3 linked regions of the Lonchura striata genome follow. Each later gene encodes a partner of the first gene's protein in a complex. Links are inferred from orthologs where the notes say so. Each region holds a gene or a part of one and is shown in the gene's direction. Other genes may lie near its edges.

The links.
Region 2: MED24 (region 1) and MED19 share a complex: the UniProt entries of both Homo sapiens proteins name them as parts of the mediator complex. The link is inferred for Lonchura striata from reciprocal best matches to the Homo sapiens genes MED24 and MED19.
Region 3: MED24 (region 1) and MED18 share a complex: the UniProt entries of both Homo sapiens proteins name them as parts of the mediator complex. The link is inferred for Lonchura striata from reciprocal best matches to the Homo sapiens genes MED24 and MED18.

The regions. Positions count from the first base shown.
Region 1 is NC_134627.1:7,031,668-7,039,257, forward strand, and holds the start of MED24 (mediator of RNA polymerase II transcription subunit 24), read left to right. Parts: upstream 1-4,498; 5' UTR 4,499-4,763; coding exon 4,764-4,893; intron 4,894-7,122; coding exon 7,123-7,205; intron 7,206-7,590. UniProt on the Homo sapiens protein: Component of the Mediator complex, a coactivator involved in the regulated transcription of nearly all RNA polymerase II-dependent genes.
Region 2 is NC_134608.1:53,111,239-53,118,229, forward strand, and holds MED19 (mediator of RNA polymerase II transcription subunit 19), read left to right. Parts: upstream 1-4,302; coding exon 4,303-4,501; intron 4,502-4,786; coding exon 4,787-5,043; intron 5,044-5,116; coding exon 5,117-5,213; intron 5,214-5,293; coding exon 5,294-5,388; intron 5,389-5,511; coding exon 5,512-5,574; 3' UTR 5,575-6,409; downstream 6,410-6,991. Other genes in the region: TMX2 (thioredoxin-related transmembrane protein 2), read right to left, coding at 2,148-2,282, 2,384-2,513, 2,622-2,687, 2,774-2,880, 2,955-3,031, 3,166-3,279, 3,438-3,498, 3,888-4,076. UniProt on the Homo sapiens protein: Component of the Mediator complex, a coactivator involved in the regulated transcription of nearly all RNA polymerase II-dependent genes.
Region 3 is NC_134642.1:13,964,520-13,970,760, reverse strand, and holds MED18 (mediator of RNA polymerase II transcription subunit 18), read left to right. Parts: upstream 1-4,729; 5' UTR 4,730-4,770; coding exon 4,771-4,843; intron 4,844-4,981; coding exon 4,982-5,535; 3' UTR 5,536-5,659; downstream 5,660-6,241. UniProt on the Homo sapiens protein: Component of the Mediator complex, a coactivator involved in the regulated transcription of nearly all RNA polymerase II-dependent genes.

The DNA.
Region 1 (7,590 bases):
CGCTCCGCTCCGCCGCGGCCGCAGCCCCCTCCGCCGGCCGCAGCCGCTCCCTGCACCCGCCGCGCCCGGCCCCGCGTGGGGACCCACGGGGGAGCGGCGGGGTCCGGGCGGACCGCGGGAGGGTGACACCGGGGTGGGCAGAGAGGCACACGGGGATCACGGGGTGGGGATGGTGGCCGTGGCAGGGTGCGTGGTGGCAGCCCTGACGGTGCCCACGGGGATGTGGTGACAGCGACAACGAGGACGGGGGGTGGTGAGCACAGGGTGGGGGGCTGTGTGCAGGGGGGGCTAGGGGAAGTGGCCACGGGGGTTGGGGACGGCACCCACGGGGAGGTGGGGACAGTGCCCACGGGAGTTTGGGGCCCCGGGATCCTGGGGCGGTGCTCGTGGTGGGGTGAAGCTGGTGCCCACAGGAGTTTGGGACGGTGCTCACGGGGATGTCGTGACAGTGACAACAGGGACGGGGGATGGCGACCACCGCGTGGCGGGCTGTACCGAAGGGGGACCGGAGACGGTGCCCAGGGAGGCCCAGGGGGATGCCCGTGGCAGGGCGGGGATGGTACCCACAGGCACTGGGAACAGCACCCACGGGGATGCTGTGACAGTGACAACCTGGTGTCCACGAGGGCAGGGCACGGCACCCGCAGGGAGCTGGGGACGGTGCCCACGGCGATGCTGTGATAGTGACAGTGACCCTACAGGATTTGGGGACAGCACCCAGGAAGGGCTGGGACGGTGCCCTCGCTGGGTGGCGGTGGGGTGGAGATGATGCTCAAGGAGATCTGGGACAGTCCCCATGGGGCTTGGTGACAGTGCCCACGAGGCAAGGGGCAGCTCCACACCCCGGATGCCCAGCCCGGCCCGGGGAGGGGCACACACCAGACACGGGGGTCCCCCTCAGATCCACACCGCCCCGGGCAGGAGACAATCCCGCAGGACACCCGCACGTCGGGGGGCCCTGCCCCTGCGCCCCCCGGGGGATGTGTGGGACGGGGAACAACGGGGGTCGTACCCCGCTGTGGGGCCGGACCCGGAGCCGCCGTGGGGCTGGGGATGGCGGCGGCACCGGGAGCCCGGGGGGGATCACTGGGGAGGGCGCTGAGGGTCGCCCACCGACCCGGCCGTGCCACCCCACCCCCTTCCCAGCAGCCCGTGCTCCCAGCCCCCCCTTTTCCTCCCCGGACTACACGTCCCGTCATGCCCGGGCTTAAAGCGGCTCTGCCGCCCCCCTCATCCCCGCCCGGAGCCCCGCAGCTCGGCCCTGGGACCCCCGGGGGGTTCAGTCTGGCCGCCCCCCACCCCCCAGCCCCCTGGGTACCCCCCTCCCTGGGCTGCACGGGCGGTGCGGTGATACCCAGGGGATGAGGGGGATGGGGGTCTCCCGGGCATGAAGGCTTCTAGGAGAGGAGGGTCTCCAAGGGATGAAGGTTTCCTTGGGAGGGGTGTACCCAGGGGATGGTTTCCCACACTTGGGGAGCGCAGGCAACACCCAGGGAAGGTGAGGGGGGGGTCCCCACGGGCCAGCGGCTGTCAGGGCACGGTGCTGCTCAGAATGGGGACAACAAGGGGGCAGTGCTACCCGGGGATCTCCAGGGGATGGTGGTCCCCAGGTAATGCGAGTCCCCAGGGGAAGGTGGTCGCCAGGGGATGGGGGTACCCAGCGGATGGAGGAGAGCGACACCTGGGACTGCCACAGAACCCATGGACCTCCTGCTGCCCCCGGTCCCCACAGGCCGGTGGTCCCCATAGCCCCCATCGATCCCCTGGCCCCCCGGGTCACCCTGGGGCCCTCATCCGCACGGCTGGCGGTCCCAGCGTGGCGGGGCAGCAGCAGCGTGACGGCCCCCCCGTCCCTCCCCGCCTGTTCCGTACACTTTATCCTCAGCAAACACGGCTCGGCCACGGCCCCCCGCAGCCGTCTGCCCGCGATAAGGCTGTGGCTGAGCTCGCCTGCCCCCAGCCTATGGGGCTCAGCCATCTCAACACCACCTCATGTCCCCAGATCCCCCTGCTTGAGGTTGCCTGACAGCCTCTATCCCATTGGGGAAACTGAGGCAGAGCTGGAGTTTGCCTGTGGCCTCTCTGGAGCACACAGACAGGCGCTTCTCGCGCTCATCACCAGCTCCCCGTCCCCACTGAGGTTCCCCCAGTGCCACCACAGGTCTCTGCACTGCCCCAGTAGAGTGGGGACCTTGTGCCCTGTGGCAGACCCTGATCTGAGGGGATTTGGGATTTAGAGGGGCTGTGCTGCTCTAGTTGGCTGGAACACGCTCATTAAAGTTCACCCCGCTGCTCTGTGGCAGAAACACTAAATATAGCCCCAAGTCACCAGTGGTGCCCCCCAGGACCCCCAAGAAGGTGATGACACCAGGCACCTCCATCCCCAGCACTGGCTACCCCCATGGGGCAGCACCCACCACCAACTGGGGGGTCCGGACGGCCCCATGGGGGTGTCCCTCTATCCCGGATCAGATCCTTCACACCCCACCAAACACCAGTCAGCAGCCATGTGCCCCCCGGCAGGACGCGGCACCAGAGCTCCCAGCCACCCCACTGACCCCGTGGGAAGGGGAAGCCCCTCACGCTGGCCCCCGCTCGCCCCTCGCTTGCCCCCGGCGCTGGGAACGGCCCCAGCCCCTTCCGGCCCCCCCGGCCCCGGGCCGGAGGCAGCTGTGCCGGGGCTCCCTGCCAAGGCGCCGAGGCTTCGACGCCTTCCCCCCAGCCGGCCGCCCCCGCGGCACCCCGGGGAGCTGCGACCCCCCGAGCACCCCCTGCCACCCCCGACCCTGCCAGCACCACCACCACCACCCCTGCCCCGGAGTTTGGGGGTGCTGTGCCGGGGTTGGGGGGGTCCAGCAGGGCTCCTCAGAGCCCCTCCTGCCTGGAGACCCCCGTGGTGTCTGTTCCACGGCCAGCTGTGGGAAGCGACCCCCCCCTTGCACAGGAAATCCCTCCTCATGGATAGGGCTCCCCCCCGGCGGGACCCCCCCGCTGCCGGGGTGTCCCCCCCGCCGCCGGGGCCCCTCGCCGCCCGGGCAGCCGCTGGCCCGCTTAATCCCGGCCCCGGCACGGGGGGATTTGCTGCGCCCCGGCCCCATGAATGATTAACCGGGGAATTAAGGGGCCGCGAAACCCCCCCGGAGCAGCGCGGAGGGGGGGGGGGGTGTGACTGAGCTCCCACCCCAGCCCCCCTGGAGGTCTTCACCCTGCTCCTGAGCCTTGGGGGTTCCCTTGGGGAATTCTGGGGGTACTGAGGGTTTTGGGGGGGCTGGGAGTGTTCTAGGGGTGCAGAGGCCTGGGGGTGTTTGGGTTGCAGGAGGGGTGCTGGGGGGCTATTGGGGGCATTCTGGGAGGGTTGGTGCGCTGGGAGTACTGGGGGGGGCTGTCAGTTCTGGGGGGCTGCCCCCCAGCCTTGCTCCCCATCCTCCCGTTGCCATGGCGACGGCTGGCACCATCCCTGGGGATATTTTTAGCTGCTGGTACTGCAGGGAGGGGGTGGGGGGCAGCCCAGGCCCATGGCGGCGCCACGTGTGTGCACACACGTGTCTGCAGCACACGGCCTTGCACACGCGTGTGTGCCCACCCCTGCGCTGGTACCTGTGCGTGCACACCCGCCCGGGGGTGCTGGTGTCTGCGCGTGTGTGCAACAACACACACAGACACACACCGCACACACTCATGTGCATCCACACGTGTGAACACACCCGCCTGTGTCACACGCAGTCCTCAGTGCACGCCTGTGGTTGCACACGCACGCGGGCACACCTCTGTGCTCACACACTGGTGTGCACACCTGTGCTCATGTGTGTGCGTGTGTGAACATCTGTACATCTGTGTGTACACACGTGCACACACACTGTCCTGTGTGCACACCTGCACAAACGCACAGAGAAACATGCTGGGAGATCCGTGCTGCCACCCCAGAGCCTTTGCACACTCACGCCTTTGCACCATTTTTGCACATCCCTTGTTTTTACACTTACCCCGTTTGTACATCCCCTGTTCTTACACTTACCCCGTTTGTACATCCCCTGTTCTTACACTCACCCTGTCTTTGCACAACTCCTCATTTTCACACGTATCCTTCCCCCCGTGTTTGTACCCCCCCACCTTTCCACACCCCTGCTATTTGCACACCCGCCCCTATTTGCCCACTCCCGTGTTTTCAACCCCCCATTCTCACCCCGTGTTTGCACACACACCCTATTTGCACACTCACCTCTGGTGTTTGCATGTCAAATCCCATTTCCCGATTTTCACACTCACCCCATGTTTCCACACACACACCCCGTGTTAGCCCACCCTCCCCCGTTTGCTCACCCACACGGTGTTTGCACTCTCACCTCGGCGTTTGCACACTCGCCCCCCGTTCCCACCCACCCTTTGCACACTCACTCCCGCCCCCGCCCGCCCTAGCCCCCCGAACTACCACTCCCATCACCCCCTGCGCCCGCCGCGCCCCGCCGCCCAATCAGCGTGCGGCTTGTTGGCAGGCGCCGCAATGGCGGTGCCCAAGCGCTGAGGGCGGCGCCGGGCCGCGCTGAGGGGCGGCGGGACCCGGCGGGACCCCCGGGCACCGAACTTCGGGGGCTCCGAGGGGTTCCGGGGCTGCTCCGAGGGGCTCCTCAGGGCCGGGGAGCGGGCAGACCCCCAGCTGCTGCCCTCCGAAGCCGCTGGGCCGCTTCCCCGCTCTGTCCGGCCCTGCCCGGCCGGGTCAGGGCTCCGTCCCCCTTCGCCTTGAGCTGTCGGGCCGCGGGGTGACCATGAAGGTGGTGAACCTGAAGCAGGCCATCCTGCAGGCCTGGAAGGAGCGCTGGAGCGACTATCAATGGGCCATAAACATGAAGCGGTTCTTCCCCCGCGGAGCCACCTGGGACATCCTCAACTTGGCAGGTCGGGGGGAGGCGGGGGGTTCCCCCTCCTTACTGGGCACACTGGGATGTTTTGGGGGTCCTCACGCGTTTATTTGGGTGTTGTCCCCAGTGTTCCCCTCTTTGGGGTGCAGGCAGGGGTATTATGGGGTCCCTTGTCGCATTTTGGGTCCCCACTTCCCACACCACTTTTCACGCCAAAATTCCCATTCCCAACCATGTCAGTCCATTCCCAACTGTCCCCCCCCACCCCGCTGTCCCCGTTTTGGGATCATTCCCTCCTTTTCCCCCATGGGAGGGTTCAGGGGTCAGCACAGCGTAGCTTTTGGGACCGAGAGAAACAGCTTTGAGTTGAGCCAGGAGAGAATTATGTTGGAAATTAGGAGAAATTTCTTCACTGAAAGGGTGGTTAGGCGTTGGAACAGGCTGTGGTGGAGTTGCCATGTGGATGTGGCTCCAGGGCACTTGGGTTATGGTGAGATGCTCTTGGAGGTCTTTCCAGCCTTAATGATTCCCCGATTTCGTGATTCGAGCACTGCACAGGAGCCAGGTGCTGCTCCCAAGGCTGCTTCCCAGCCCAATTCAAGGGCATTTCACAGAAATCCTGCCAAAAGCTAGGACTGGTTTAAAGATTTGCCAGGCTCTCTTGCTAATTATAGAAACTTGGTGCTGGGATTTTCCCTGTGCAGCAAGTCCCGGGATAAATAAACAGAGCTGCTGCTCCAGGGAGTTTAAAGGAACCAGCCCCACACAGGCAGCAGCTCTCACTCCTCTGAGTGTGGGGAACTTTCCCCTGTGCATGTTTTTCCCTTCTCTTCATCCTCTCATTGGATTTTCTGTCAGTGTCTGTTTTTTGTCACTGCTGAGCTGTCCCTGCTGGGTTTGTCAGCTCTGAGGTGCGGCTGGAGGGGCCAAATGGAGCTGTGGCCGTGGGGGGATGGATTTGCTCTGCATGGATTTGCTGGGGGTGGGGGTGGTTGGCTTGAGGGCCAGTCCTGCTGCTGCCCAGCTGGTCCCTGAGGCTCCCAGGTGTCTGTTCCCACCCTGGTGGCACTGGCTCCTGCTCCTCTGGCAGTGAGGCCTGCGGGGTACTTGGCTTGGGCTCGTCTGTGTATCCCCAAAAACAGACGCAGGGAGGATAATTCCCTATTATTTCTGCAGGAATGGGTTTCTCCTGGCTCACATTTACCCAAGGCTCAGTGGCTTCTTTGGAGCAGGAGGAGAAGGAGCTGTATCCCCTTTTCCTTTTGGGAGCCACGCGGGCAGGGTGCTGGCCGTGACCCTGGGTATTGTGTGCACACAGGGAGAGCCCATTCCCGAGGTCCCAATGGCTGGACCAGCAGCTCCCTTCCTCACCACAGCCCCCAGAGCTGTCCTTTCCCGAGCTCGTGCCCCTTTCAGCTTGGAAGTACAAAGGAGGGAAAGCTGGCACGAGCTGCCAGGATCACGGCAGGGCCTGGCAGATCGCTGCTGACACGTCTGCAGCAGGGAGCAGCATGTGGCTGGCTCGTGGTGGCACTCTGGGATGGGCTGGGGAGGGGACGGCTGCCACCAGCCTTCTGTCCTCATCCCAGACGCTCTTGGCCCAGGATTCAGCCTTGGAGCGAGACCCAGGGAGTCTCCTTCTCCTGCACTCGGGATCCGGTGGTGGCTTCTCCTCCTCGGCTTTGGGGTGACAACTTCCCACCCGGCTGCTGCTCCCCCTTTCACATCTGGGTGCTCTGACCTACTTGCAGCCTGTGCTGCAGCCCGGGGCCTGCTCGGGGTGGTGCTTCCTGCACTCTGCCATGGCTCAAATGGACAATTAAAGGCTTGGCTGAGCAGATGGGACGGGCAGAGCCCCTCAGGCCACCGAGGGCCAGACGGGCAGGGCTGCGCCCAGTGCAGGGGACTGGTGGCCCCAAGCTCAGCCCCAGGTGCCTGGGCAAAAGACACTCAGTGGAGGCTGCAGGAGCCTCCTGGCAAGAACTGGGAGGGAGGGGAATGTGGAGAGCAGCAGCAGAAATTTCAGGGCTGGAGCGCTGAAGAGCTGTGTTAGCAGGAGGCTGCGAGCTCTGCCTGAATTATTCACTGGCTTGTGCCCGTCAGGGATTAGGAAGTTGTGGGATTCAATGAATTTAGGAGAAAAACTGGTGTGGAGTCACTGTGGTTGGTACAGTTGGACTTTGCCAGCTTCCCTGTGGAATGAGGGGAGAGCAGATTGTGTCCGTGTGTTCCCCATGTGCTGACCTGGGACCCTCTTTCCTTGCAGAGGCTCTCCTGGAGCAGGCCATGATTGGGCCATCCCCAAACCCACTCATCTTATCCTACCTGAAATACGCCATCAGCTCCCAGGTAAGGACCTGCTGGTGCTGCTGCTCACCTTGCAGCCTCGGTGAGGTTGGGCAAAGCAACTGGGGTGTTGGTGGTGGGCAGGCACCCCACATCTCCCATGTGAGCCTCTCCTGGGCTGGGCAGATACCCCAAACCGCCATCTGAGCCTCTCTGGGGCTGGGGCAGGCAGTGGAGGGCTCAGCGCGTGCCCTGGGCAGGGATGTTTCCATAAATAGCCTCTGCCATCGCCCAGGGTGGGAATTCTGCCCCCCGAGAGGCTCTGCGCTCGCTGTGAGCGCCACGCTTTCACATCCTGGCATTTAATATCGCCTAAAGTTTGTGTGAAACACATCAGCGATCACCTAAAAATGTCTGTTTGGATTTGTGCCGGGTCAGCGCCCCGGCC
Region 2 (6,991 bases), on another chromosome or scaffold:
CGGCAGCTCGACCGCTCCTGCCTGCATTCCACTCAGGAAGTCTCCACCGTGGGGGCACCTGACTCAGCTGAGCCTGGCAGTGCCAGCTCTGCGGTGTCCCCCCAGAGGCAGCCACACTCTCTGGGGCACTCACACCCCAGCCCCATCGGGCGGATGAGGCTGCGGAAGGTGCAGCACTGGGGGCACTGGGAGGTGGTGCAGGAGGCCGTGCCTCCGGCAGTGATGGTGGGGGATGTGGGGGTGACAGAAGCACAGCCCCCCCAGAATGTGGATGCACGGGAGCAGGTGAGCAAGTGCTCCCCAACCCAGCAGTCCCCCAGTGAAAATGGGATGCAGCAGCATGGGGACTCCCCTGTGTCCTCGCAGGGCTGCCAGCAGGCAGTGCTCCCAGGAACTCCTGGAAGTGACACCAAGGAGGAAGAGGTGGATGTGGGAACAGGGGAACTATTCCTGCCCCCTGGCACAGTGTGCCTCTGGCCCAGTCCCTCATCTGAGTCAGAAGAGGAGGTGGATGTCCTCACCTAGAGGGGGCTGGCTCTGCCTCTCCCCCCACCAGTGCCTGTACCCCTTGGGCTGCATGTCCTTGGAATAAAGGGCTGAAGCTGTGCTGTGGAGTACTAAACTTTATTGGAGATTGGGGGGACAACGGGGTGTGGAGGGAGCCAGGGGTCTGGCAGTGGCAGAGCTGCAACATCAGGGACGGGACTGGGGCAGGTGGATGCCCCCACTTGGTCTCGCCTCTTCATGGACGCTCATGCCGTCTGTGCCGATCCTGGCTTGGCTGTGGAGAGAGGGAAGTCGGTCCCTGTTGGTCCCATCCCTGCCCTATCCCATCCCAGTCCCATCCCCGCTCACCTGGCCAACACCTCTATGCCAAGCTGCTCTTCAGGGCTTCCACTACTGTCTCCGGCTGGGGAAACTTCAGCTTGCGGGGGGGCCCCTTCCCGATACCGCTCCACAGCTCCACGGCTGCAGAGGTAAGGGAGATTATGGGATCAAGGGTGCCGGGGAGCCCCCCGCCCCCCTGCCCAGCACTTACTGCTGCCGTCCTCCTTCACCAGGGACACCTCGAAGCTGTTCCTGCGCGGCGGCCGGGGGTTGATGTCCACGGGGAGGTGCGCCATGGCCCCGCGCAGGGCCGCGCTCACCGCCGCCGCGTTCCGCCCGAACACGCGTCAGCTCTTGCTGCGGGGACACGGCGGTCAGCGACCCCGGGGCACCCAGGGGCCTCACACCGCCCTCGGCGCCTCGGCCGCTCACCAGTGCTCGATGACGACACGGGGGCCGATGTCCCCGGGGCTGCACTCGTCTTGGGCTTGGGCCTGGGCCCGCGCCCGCTTCTGCGGAGCTCCCGCTGTCTCCGGTGCCTCGGCCGCCGCCGGCTGCTGGGCTCCGCGCTTCCTCCCGCGGGGAGCCATCCTGGGACAGCCGAGGCGGTGGAGCCTACGCCGGCTGCAGGAATGCCACTCCGGGGTGAGAAGGGAGCTCAGGTACCACGCTGTCCGGGGAGTGAAAAGTGGGTCCCTGTGGGGACACTACTGTGGGAGAGGGCCCGGATGGGCCAGTCCCCGGCGATGCGCCACGGGGGAAATGAGGGCCCCCGCCGGGATCCCGCTGCGGAGGGCGGGAGGCGGCTCCGCAGGGATCCCGCCGCGGTGTGCGGCTGGGGGGAGCAGGGCGGCGGGGCCCGGGGCAGCAGCGGCGCTCCTACCGGCCGCTGGCCACGTGCGGGAGCGCGCGCCGCCGGGGCGGGGCCGGAACGGGCGGGGCCGAGGAGGGCACCGGAGCCTCCGGTGGGCTCCGGTTCCGCCCGCGCCGCGCCGGCCAATCAGAGCGCGCCGGCTCCGCACGGCCCCGCCCCCATGCGCGGGCCCGGGCCGGGGACACGGACACGGACACGGACACGGGTCACGGGACACGGCACGGACCGTTTATTGTCAGCGATGGATGATGAGCGAGCGTTAACCGAGGCGGGGCCCCTCCTACCGCCCTGCCCGCACGGGGCCGGGGGGCACCGCCGCTTTCCCGGGGCTCAGCCGGGACAAGTCCGCACGGAGAGCGGCTCCGGGCGGGGCTGGGCAGGCCCGCGGGGCCGCTGCCACCAGGCTGATGGTGACATAGTGATGGGCGACAGTACAGGGCAGCTTCTACTTGTCCTTCTTGGTCTCCTGAGCTGCAGCGGGCACGGCTGGGGGCTCCTCAGGTCCCTCCTCCCGCGGCTTCGACTGCTTCTTGGCCTTCTGGTAGAGCTCGTTGAGGTTGAACTCCCGGATCACATTCTCCTGTGGCCAGGAGGTAGCATCAGCACCACTGGGACCTCGTGCTCCCCCCTTCTTCCCAGGCACAGGCTGGACAGAACAGAGGGCTGCAGGGTCCCACCCACCTCAGAGAAGGTCCAGGACACAGCCCGGCCCTTCTTGTCGATCTGCGGTCGCCGCATGATCTCTGTCCCACCCTGGAAGAGGATGAGGGTGGGCAGCTGCTTGGTGAGAGGCGAGGTGCTGACCTTGTACCTGTGTCAGGACAAGCCCACAGTGACCCTCGGGCAGCTTGAGAGGGCAGGAGGGTCACAGGGACTACCCCAGAGCGAGCCTTGCTTGCCCAGGCTGCGTTCCCCACACCTGGTGCTGACGTCCGTGTACCGGCCAACATCCACCTTCCCAAACTGGAGTCCTGAGCAGTTGTACCTGGGCAGGATGGGGACACAGGGCAGTGAGGGACACAGGGGACCACAGGCCCCGTTACCCCCAAGATTCCAGTGGGTGCCACTCACTTGAGAGAGAGGTCGGCGAAGATGGGGGCAAAGGACTGGCACTCACTGGACCAGTTGGCAAAGAACTCAACAATCCACGTCACCCGCTTGTCCCTCTCCAACTCCTCCTGCCACAGGGGCATGGGCTTAGGGGGGCGAGGGCAGAGACCACCAAAAGCCCCAGGGCTGGGGAGATACTCACATCGATGGTCTTGTCACTGAAGTACTTGATGTATTCGGGGCCCATGTAAAGGGGTGGCTTGCAGGTCATCAGGAACACTGGAATGACAGCACCCTGAGCCCCCCAGTGCCAGGAGGGCCAGGCTGGGCCTGGGACAGAGCTCCTCCACCCCAGAGCAGTAAGGGGGAGCCAGGAGAAGGCGGATCTAGGGCAAGAAGACATGCAGGCTCACCTATGCAGAGAGTGAGGTAGAGCAGCCCCATGCGGATGTCAAGGCGGAAGAACAGGATGGCGTTGGCCACTTTGCTGAACATGAAAATATTCCCGATGTGCTGCTCCACGGTGACTGTGATGTGGAGACAGGAATAAGGCATGGGACCAGATGCCCCCAGAAGGCTGGGGGAAACTTCAGGGAGGGCTGGATCTGGTCCTCCAGACACCACCCCGTGCTCCTTGAAGGAGACCCCATAAGCAGCCCCAGCCCCCCAAGTCCCCCTGACTCACTGGAGCGCCGGTTCTTCATCATGACAATGGCGCTGAGGAACATGAGGATCTCCACCTCCCTCTGGCACAAAGAAGGGACAGCATGAGCTGGAAGTGCCCAGGACACCTTGAAGCCATGCCTGGCCTGGCACAGGGACCCGTGGCCGTGCCAGGCCCTACTGTTCCCAAGGCCCTGCCACAGCCCAGAGCCTTCATCCCCCCCGGGATGAGAACAGCGAGCAGAGGGGCTGCCCTGGGGCCACGAGCCGGACCAGAGCCTGGGGGTGCCTCTCGGCTGTAAGGGAACACCGCAGAGCATCGCCAGGGGCTACCGGGCAACTCCTCTCTCAGCCAGGCCGGGGTGCTGTGTGAGCAGGAGGGGAGCCAAGCCAGGGCCGGGGCTGTGGGGACAGGACCGGGGACAGCCCAGGGATGCGGGGACAGGCCCGGGGACAGGCCGCACCGCCTCACCCAGTCAAAGTCACAAGGGTTGCCATCCTCCCGCTGCGAGGGGAGCCCGCGGCAGAGCGGCGGGACCTTGCGCACAATCAGGAAAGCGGCGGCGAGCAGCGCGGAGAGCGGGTAGTAGGGCTGGGCGAGCCATCGGCAGAGCCCGGGCAGCCCCCAGAGCAGCGCCAGCAGCGGCGCCACCACCGCCATCTTCCCTCCGCCCCGCTCACTGCCGGGGGCGGGGCCTCCCGCGCCGGCCAATGGCGAGCGGCGAGGCGGGCGCTCCCGCGCGCGCGGACCAATGAGAGGAGAGAGGGGAGCGGCCAATCAGAAGGCTGGGATGGGTCTCCCTTAGCAACGGGGGGCAGGGGCGGTGTGGGGGCGGCGCTCGGCCAATGGCGGGGCGGGGCGGCCCGGCGCGGGGCACGCCGGGAACATGGAGAACTTCTCGGCGCTGTTCGGCGCGGCCGAGCCGCCGCCCGCCGCCGCCGCCGCGCTCGGATTCGGGCCCGCCAAGGCGCCGGGTGCCGGAACCGCGCCGCCGCCCGCTGCCTCGGCCGCCGCGCCGCCGCCGGGCGAAGACGCGGCCCGCAAGGCCGCCGGCGGCCCCTTCTACCTGCTGCGAGAGCTGCCAGGTGCGGGCGGGCCGCGGGGCGGGGCGGGTGCCGCGCTCGGCCAATCAGCGCGGCGAAACGCGGCCGCGGGGGAAACTGACGGCGCCAGGAGCCAATGAGGTTGCGGGGGCGGGGCCGCGCAACGCGCGGTCCGGTGGGGAAGTGGGCGGCGGGGGCGCCCCGGGGCCGGGGGTCCCGGTGCTCGGGGGCTGCAGGGGGTCCCGGAGCCTCGGCTCGGCTGGGGAGAGGGGCCTGGGCTGCCGTCGGGGCGTTTCCCCCGCGCCAAGTTTTCCTGCGGCCGCACAGGCACTACGGAGCTGACGGGCAGCACCAACTTGATCACACACTATAACCTGGAGCACGCCTACAACAAGTTCTGCGGCAAGAAGGTGAAGGAGAAGCTCAGTAACTTCCTCCCCGACCTGCCCGGCATGATCGACCTGCCCGGCTCCCACGACAGCAGCAGCCTGCGCTCGCTCATCGAGAAGCCGCCCATCTGCGGCAGCTCCTTCACGCCGCTCACGGGTGCCATGCTGACCGGTTTCCGCCTGCACGCCGGCCCGGTGAGCCCCGGGCTATGGAGCCGGAGGGGCGGGAGGGGCCCGGCGTGGTCTGACCAGTCCTTTTTCTCCACAGCTGCCCGAGCAGTGCCGGCTGATGCACATCCAGCCGCCTAAGAAGAAGAACAAGCACAAGCACAAACAGAGCCGCACGCAGGACCCCGTCCCCCCAGGTAAGGCTGCCACAGCCGCTCCCCTGCTCCCCTTCAGCACTGGCAGAGCATCGGCTCATCTGGCGCTTCTGCTTCTCCAGAAACCCCCTCAGACTCCGACCACAAGAAGAAAAAGAAGAAAAAAGAGGAGGATCCAGAGCGGAAGAGGAAGAAGAAAGAGAAGAAGAAAAAGAAGGTGAGTGGCAAGGCCGGGGTGCAGTGCCCAGCCCGTGGACCTCGGAGGGGCGCTGTGAGTTGCCATCCCCAAGGGGCTGCTGCCCAGCAGCTCTCACAGTTTCTGTCTGTCCTTCCTCTGCAGAACCGGCACAGCCCGGAGCACCCTGGGGTGGGCAGCTCCCAGGCCAGCAGCAGCTTACGGTGAAACCACGCCGGTGACGCCCTGGGGATCCCCTGGCCCATGGGAACAGCCCCGGCTGACCCCAGGGACACTGGGGCTGGCCTGTCCCCCCGGCTAAGAGGACACCCCTGCAGCCCCCCAGCACCAGGGGCACAGACTCTGTGGGTGCTGACCTTGAGCTTTTGTACCTGAAGAACCTGGAGCATCAAAGCCTCTTTTTTAGTCACCTTTTAAACTCTGCTGTGAGGAGGGGCTGGTGGCCATGGCTGCTGTGACCCTTAGCTGTCACAGTGGAGCCCCAAACAAAGGTGTCCCTGGAACGTGCAGGTGCCCTCCTTTGGATCCGAAACCTCACCAGCACCCACGATACTTTCCCTGGAGCCTCTTTTCCCATGCCTGGAAAATCCTTACCTTCTGTGGGAGCAGAGTTTGCCTCAAGTTGGAGCCCCCCCAGAACTGGGCCAGGCTCAGCTCTTACCAGACCCCCTTCTCTCTCTCCCTCGGGAGGGGGGGCAAGGCTGAAACCCTGAGGATCAGGAGCCTTGGAGGGGCTGCTCCATCCCTGGACACCAAACAAAGCACACGCACAGCCCCGGGGTGGCTCATTAAATATCCTTTTATTCCTTGTTTTTAAAATGGCTGATAATAATAAAAAACCCTGGCGTGGCTGTGTGGGGCCACGGGAGCTATTGCCGTAGAGAAAGAGTCCGGTAGTGCCGGCAGGGCTTTGGGGACAGGGAGCACAAGGCTCCTTGGCTGTGTTTTTTTGGCATGTGATGAGAAAATATTGCTTTCCGGGGATGCACCTGCCTCTTCCCCGAGCGAGCGGAAATAAAAACACCCCTGCGACAGCGAGAAACCTCCTCGGAATCATTAACAGAAACAAAAAAAGGCAACAAAACCAACAACCCCCCCGACCACAGCACCTGGGGAAAGAAAGAGCAAAAACTGCGGGTGGGGGACACTGGGGCTTCTGCACCAGCTTGGGATGGGGGTGTGGGGTGCTGTCCCCACCTTACCTCCACCCTGGGCCCCCCAGGGGGGCTGGAGGCTGTGGACACCATGGATCAGGGAGGGGAGTGTCCGAGGATGGGTATCTGGCACCCAATGGCCCCCTTCAGGGACGAACAGTGACACCCAGCACCTACCACAGCTCCTTCCATGGGTGCAGGAGGCAGCCCCACGTCCCTCCTTTGGGGACAGGGACAAGGTGGGGGGCCCAGGCCCTGAGCAGGGTAGTTTCTTCCTCTCTCTGGGTAAGATATATAATTTCTGCTTCTTTTTTTTTCTTTTAATATTTATATTTATATATATAGATATTTATATATACACACACCTGGTAACTCGGAAAGAGAAAAAAAATAGAATCCGTAACAATAATAATAAAAAAAAGTATTCTGGTTTAAAAACAATCCGTTCCTACCACGCCAGGCGAGCGGGT
Region 3 (6,241 bases), on another chromosome or scaffold:
GCTGGGGCTTGTTTGGCAAAATCAAACCACCTGTCTAGAATCAAATTTCTAGAATTGCTGTAACTTCAGTGTTGTACTTTCACCATTGATAATGGTGAAATAATTCCCAAATCTTTTAAAACCCTAGAATTAAAAAAGAACATATGAAACAGTGTGTTTGACTCTGGTACCACTTTGCTTCTCTCTTCACCTCCTTTCTCCTCTGTGTGCTGAATCTATTTTACCCTGTAAGACACCAGTCCCCTTCTGCTGCCTGGTGTGGAAGTTTCAGCACTGTGAGGCTTGCAAGCACTGCAGCCCCAGCTGCTTCTAGCCACACAGTTGTTGCCCACTTGGATTTCCCCAGCTGCTGCGAGGTGCTGTCAGTGAACTGAGCACTACTGAACCTTCCTGATGGAGGGAGCAGCTCCAGCACAGGGATGCACACCACACGCACCCTGACGTGGCTGTGGTACCAGAAGCCTGGTACAGCAGGTGCTGGCCTGGGGGGATGTGGCTCTGCCAGGCTCCAGCACAGGCATTCCTAGGCAGGCACAACGATTCCTGGACAAGAGTGCTGTGGGACACCAGTTCCTTTCTCAGAGTGTACAAGTCCACTGGGTGTGTCAGTGCACAGACCCTGGACAATTTTTGTGCTTGATGTGAACCTTGCTCATATGGTGAATACCGTATGAAAAAATACCATATGAGCCCTGGGACAAGCTGTAGTAGAGGGCCTGTCTTACTCCTTCCAGCTGCCTTTTGGGGTGCAGTGAGAGCTCTGGCTACTATTCAGAGTGTTTTTCAGATCTGTGATCCTCTCCCATCTCCTTTAGGACATGGCTTACCATTTTCAAGGTCATATCTTCTTTCTCCTTTGGCTTTGGTTAGGGAAGGTTTATATTGCAGGTTTATACCTGCTGAAAAAAGACGATGGTTTGGGATCCTGTCTTGCCTCAGGGCAAGTTCATGTTCTTGTCAGGTCCACCTTGCCCTGCAGAGTGGTGACACTGCATCCAGTGACCCCCCTAGCACTGACAGTTCCATACTTTGTCATCCTGCCTGGGGATGACTGCTGCCCCAGGCTCACCTTGCTTACACCCTGTGGAATGGGGGAGGCCTGCTTCCAAAGCTGACCTCACTTCAGTGCTCCAAGGCTTTTGTATTACATAACACAAAACTACTTAGCATCCTATCTTAACCACCAGCTTTACTTCAGTCTGCTCTTAAGCAAAGCTTTAGCCCCAGGTTGCTCCCATTCCATTCCCACTAGGATTCAGGCCTTCTAGACAAATATGGTAGGTAGGTAAACAACCTTATTGTTGTTTGCCCCCACTCACGTAGGACAGGAAAGAGTAAAGGCAAAAATGAGAAGACATAGATTCAGATGGAGACTGCTTAGGAGGTAAAGTGAAGCCACACCCAGAAAGCAAAATAAAGAATTTATTCACAATTCCCTATCAGCAAGAAGAGCTTTGGCACACTAATAGTTATTTGGGAAAACAAATGCCATAACCATGAATGTCCCCACTTTCTCATCTTCTTCCCAGAGCTTTTGGTGCTGGGCAGAATGCAGTCTGGTATGGAATATTGGTGTGGTCAGCTGGGATCAGATGTGACTCCCTTTGTTCCTTCAGAGCCTCTTACTTGCCTCTAGCCTACTCACTGGCAGTGAATGCAGGAGAAAAAGGACAAAAATAAAACCTTGATGCTGGCAACCCCTCCTCAGCAACAGCTAAAGTACTGCTGTGTAACCAATGTTCTTAGTCACAAATCCAGAACACAGCCTCATACAGGCTGCTATGGAGACAACTACTTTCATCCCAGCCACAGCCTGTATAAAAATAGAAAATCTGGATCTTGGCACCAATACCCACAAGAAGTGAGATCCACAACAGCCAAGTAAACATCAGCTCTTAGCATCAGAGAAGAATATGGGTTGGAAGGGACTTAAAAGAGCATTAATTTCCAACCCCCCTACTGCTGGCAGGCACACCTTCACTACACCAGAGAATTGCAGAATTGTTTAAGTTGGAAGAGAATTTTAGAATCATTGAGTCCAACTCTAAACCTAACATTACCAAGTCCACAGGCTAAAAAAGGCATCAGCCTGATGTACCTGACATGTTCCTTCCTGACACCCTTCCTGTTGTGTGGTCTGATGACACTCAGTGAAACAGACCTGATGCAGTTTTCTTCCTCTCCTGGAGGCCTCTCCCATGGACACAGTGCACCAGACAGAACCTGAGTGTCAACAGAAGCCAGTCATGTTTCCTTTCTCCTCCTTGCAGCTTTCCTTTCCTTTGTCCTCCAGCTCATACCAGGCAGCAGTTGCAGAATGGAAAAAAATCACCTCTTTCTTTATCCTTCACCAGAAACATAAGGTCAGGTTGCTCAAAGCCCCATCTAACCTGACCTTGAACACTTCCAGTCATGGTCCAGCCATAACTTCCAAGTTCCAGCATCTCAGCACCCTCACAAGAAATAATTTCTTCCTTACTCAGTTTATCCTCCTGGAGGAGAATTCTACAAGGTCAGTCCACACTTTCACAAGCTGGAACGTCAGGATAAAATTAACCATGACTGCACTGGGAGGGCATGACTATGCCATTTCTCATTTGCAGGTCTTTGGCTTGTACCAGTATTTATATAATTTTTATGGGGGGTGTCAGGGGATACCACCACTGTGTAGATACTGATACATGAAAAATGGACATACTGTTCACATTCTGTGTGGCACAAAGGTTTGTTACACAAAAGACTGCTAAGGGAAATGTCACATTTATAACTCTGTTTTGGGTATTGACAGGAGTAATTTCAGCTGGTACATACTGGGCATTTCCATCACTTTCTGAAAACGGGCTTTTCTGCATAGAAATGGTGTACATCCTACCAGGCCCAGATGAGATTTCTGCCTTCTGCTGCAGGAGCTGAAGCCTGGCCCACAACACCCCAGAGCATCAGACACTTTGCTGTCGCTGTGAGACAGATTGGATCATTTTTGGTGGATATTTTCCACAGAATTAATTGCATGTGCCACCCTGGGGAGTGATGTGGGTGCAGCCACAATGACCCCTGATGGCTGGTCCTGCCTGCTGGCCTCCCAACCCTCCTGCTGTGCCACCGGCGCCGAGGTCAGGCTGGCAGCAAGCCCTTTGAGATTTGGGGCCCTCAAGATTTGAGGTCTCAAGATTTGAACCAAACTTTGCAATTTTTTTTTTTCCAGTTGTTAATCAGAAGCTGTAGCTGAACAGTTATGATTAAGCAATCGCACTGTGAATGTTGCATACTTGGCTCGTCTTTTGCTTTGAGGAAAAGAGAAGAGAATCCCAAGATGCAGGGACTCTCTGGATGAGATCTGCCAGGAGTGAAGTCAGGATGCCAGGAGCTGACTGAGGGAAGGCAATTCCACCACACCCTGACCCAAGGGAGGCAAAACCACGCCTGCAGACCAAAAGGGCTCTTCTCATGGAGAAGCAAGACACACAACTAGAAAATAGGGTTTGAGTGCTAATTAGGAGAAAAGTGGTATAACTTACAGCTAACAAATGCTGACACCTTGGTTTGTTAAAAGGTATAAATAGTGTAGAGGTTTGATGATCACAGAGCCAGCCTTTCGTGGGTTACCTCCTGATTCCCGGCTTTGGGCAAACTAGAATAAAAGAAAAAACACGGCATCACAGAATCGTTAAGGCTGGACGGGACTTTTGCAGATCATCCAGTCCAGCCCCCTTGCTGAGGCAGGGTCACGCAGAGCAGCTGACACAGGAACACATCCAGGTAGGTGTTGAATGGCTCCAGAGAGGGACACTCCACAACCTCCCTGGCAGCCTGCTCCAGCGCTCGGCCCCCGGGCGGTGTGAGGAGAGCGGGGCGGTGTGAGCGGAGCGGGGCGGGGCGGTGTGAGCGGAGCGGGGCGGTGTGAGCGGAGCGGGGCGGGGCGGGGCGGTGTGAGCGGAGCGGGGCGGTGTGAGGGGAGCGGGGCGGTGTGAGGGGAGCGGGGCGGTGTGAGCGGAGCGGGGCGGTGTGAGCGGAGCGGGGCGGTGTGAGCGGAGCGGGGCGGGGCGGGGCGGTGTGAGCGGAGCGGGGCGGTGTGAGCGGAGCGGGGCGGGGCGGGGCGGTGTGAGCGGAGCGGGGCGGTGTGAGGGGAGCGGGGCGGTGTGAGGGGAGCGGGGCGGTGTGAGCGGAGCGGGGCGGTGTGAGCGGAGCGGGGCGGTGTGAGGGGAGCGGGGCGGTGTGAGGGGAGCGGGGCGGTGTGAGCGGAGCCGGGCGGTGTGAGGGGAGCGGGGCGGTGTGAGCGGAGCGGGGCGGTGTGAGCGGAGCGGGGCGGTGTGAGGGGAGCGGGGCGGGGCGGTGTGAGCGGAGCGGGGCGGTGTGAGCGGAGCGGGGCGGTGTGAGCGGAGCGGGGCGGTGTGAGGGGAGCGGGGCGGTGTGAGGGGAGCGGGGCGGGGCGGGGCGGTGTGAGCGGGGCGGGGCGGTGTGAGGGGAGCGGGGCGGTGTGAGCGGAGCGGAGCGGGGCGGTGTGAGCGGAGCGGGGCGGGCGGTGTGAGGGGAGCGGAGCGGGGCGGTGTGAGCGGGGCGGGGCGGTGTGAGCGGAGCGGGGCCGGGCGGTGTGAGGGGAGCGGAGCGGGGCGGTGTGAGCGGAGCGGGGCGGTGTGAGGGGAGCGGGGCGGGGCGGTGTGAGCGGAGCGGGGCGGGCCGGCGCCGCCCCCGCCCGCCGGGCCGTTAGGGGGCGCTGCCGCCGCTCTGCGCGGCGCTGCCGGCGGGGCCGCGGGGCCGGAGCGCAGCGCGATGGAGGCGCCGCCGGTGACCATGATGCCCGTCACGGGCGGCACCATCAACATGATGGAGTACCTGCTCCAAGGTAGGCGCGGCGGGACCAAGCAGCGGGTGGGGGGCTGGCGCCGCGCACGGGCGGGCCGGAAGGCGCTGGGGCGGGCGCGCCGCGTGCGGAGCCCAGCTCGGCCCGTGCGAGGCGACGGTCGCGGCGCTGTCTCCGCAGGGAGCGTGCTGGACCAGAGCCTGGAGAGCCTCCTGCACCGGCTGCGCGGGCTGTGCGACAACATGGAGCCCGAGACCTTCCTGGACCACGAGATGGTGTTCCTGCTGAAGGGGCAGCAGGCCAGCCCCTTCGTGCTGCGCGCCCGGCGCTCCATGGACAAGAGCGGGATGCCCTGGCACCTGCGCTACCTGGGACAGCCCGAAATAGGCGACAAGAACCGCCACGCGCTGGTGCGAAACTGCGTGGACATCGCCACCTCCGACAACCTGACGGACTTCCTGGTGGAGATGGGCTTCCGCATGGACCACGAGTTCGTGGCCAAAGGGCACGTATTCCGCAAGGGCATCATGAAGATCATGGTGTACAAGATCTTCCGTATACTGATGCCAGGAAACACAGAGAGCATCGAGCCGCTCTCCCTCTCCTACTTGGTGGAGCTCAATGTCGTTGCGCCAGCAGGGCAGGACATTGTTTCTGATGACATGAGGAACTTTGCTGAGCAGCTGAAGCCTCTAGTACACCTGGAGAAAATTGACCCCAAAAGACTAATGTGATTGACAGTCTGGGGCATTAAGGCACTGGTTTTGTGTTTCAGAAAATGATGTTTTTCTAAAAAGCGTTTTGTGGGCAAATCAAAACAGGGAGAAGGGAATAAAGTACTATGTATCAGTTTTGGCAGCTGCAATTCCTGAGTGTTTTTTTCTTTCACTTGTGAATATGAGCAGAAGTGGACACTTCAAATTAGCACTGTTAAAAAAATCAGTAAATGTTAATACCCATAGTGTTCTTTCTTTTGCATGGGAGATAACTTTAAAAGCCTATTGCCTAACAGTCTAAAAATGTCAGACTTACTGGAATTCATCCCTCCGTGTACTCAGATCCCACTGCTGTCTTAAGATTTTTAAAGCACAATTTGTGTATCCTACTTAGTCATCCAAAACTTTTCAGTAATAGAGGAAGTTAATACTGTTTAATGCAGGAGATGCTGTTTCACACAAGCATAAACACAGAAACTGCTGCATAAAAGGGCAGCTAACTGTACACCTCTTCACCAAAGCTTATGTGACAGGAACAGGTACTTGTTAGGGAAACTGTTTCTTATGATGTAACCGAAGTTAGAAGTAGAAGAAAATCTAGTAATATTAACATTTGCAAGTGGTTTTTCCCATCTTTTAATGGTCTTCCATTATTTTCATTGGAATTGGTTAGGATAATCCTAATTAATGAGGAAGTAAATTACCAGGTACTTTTTATTACTGG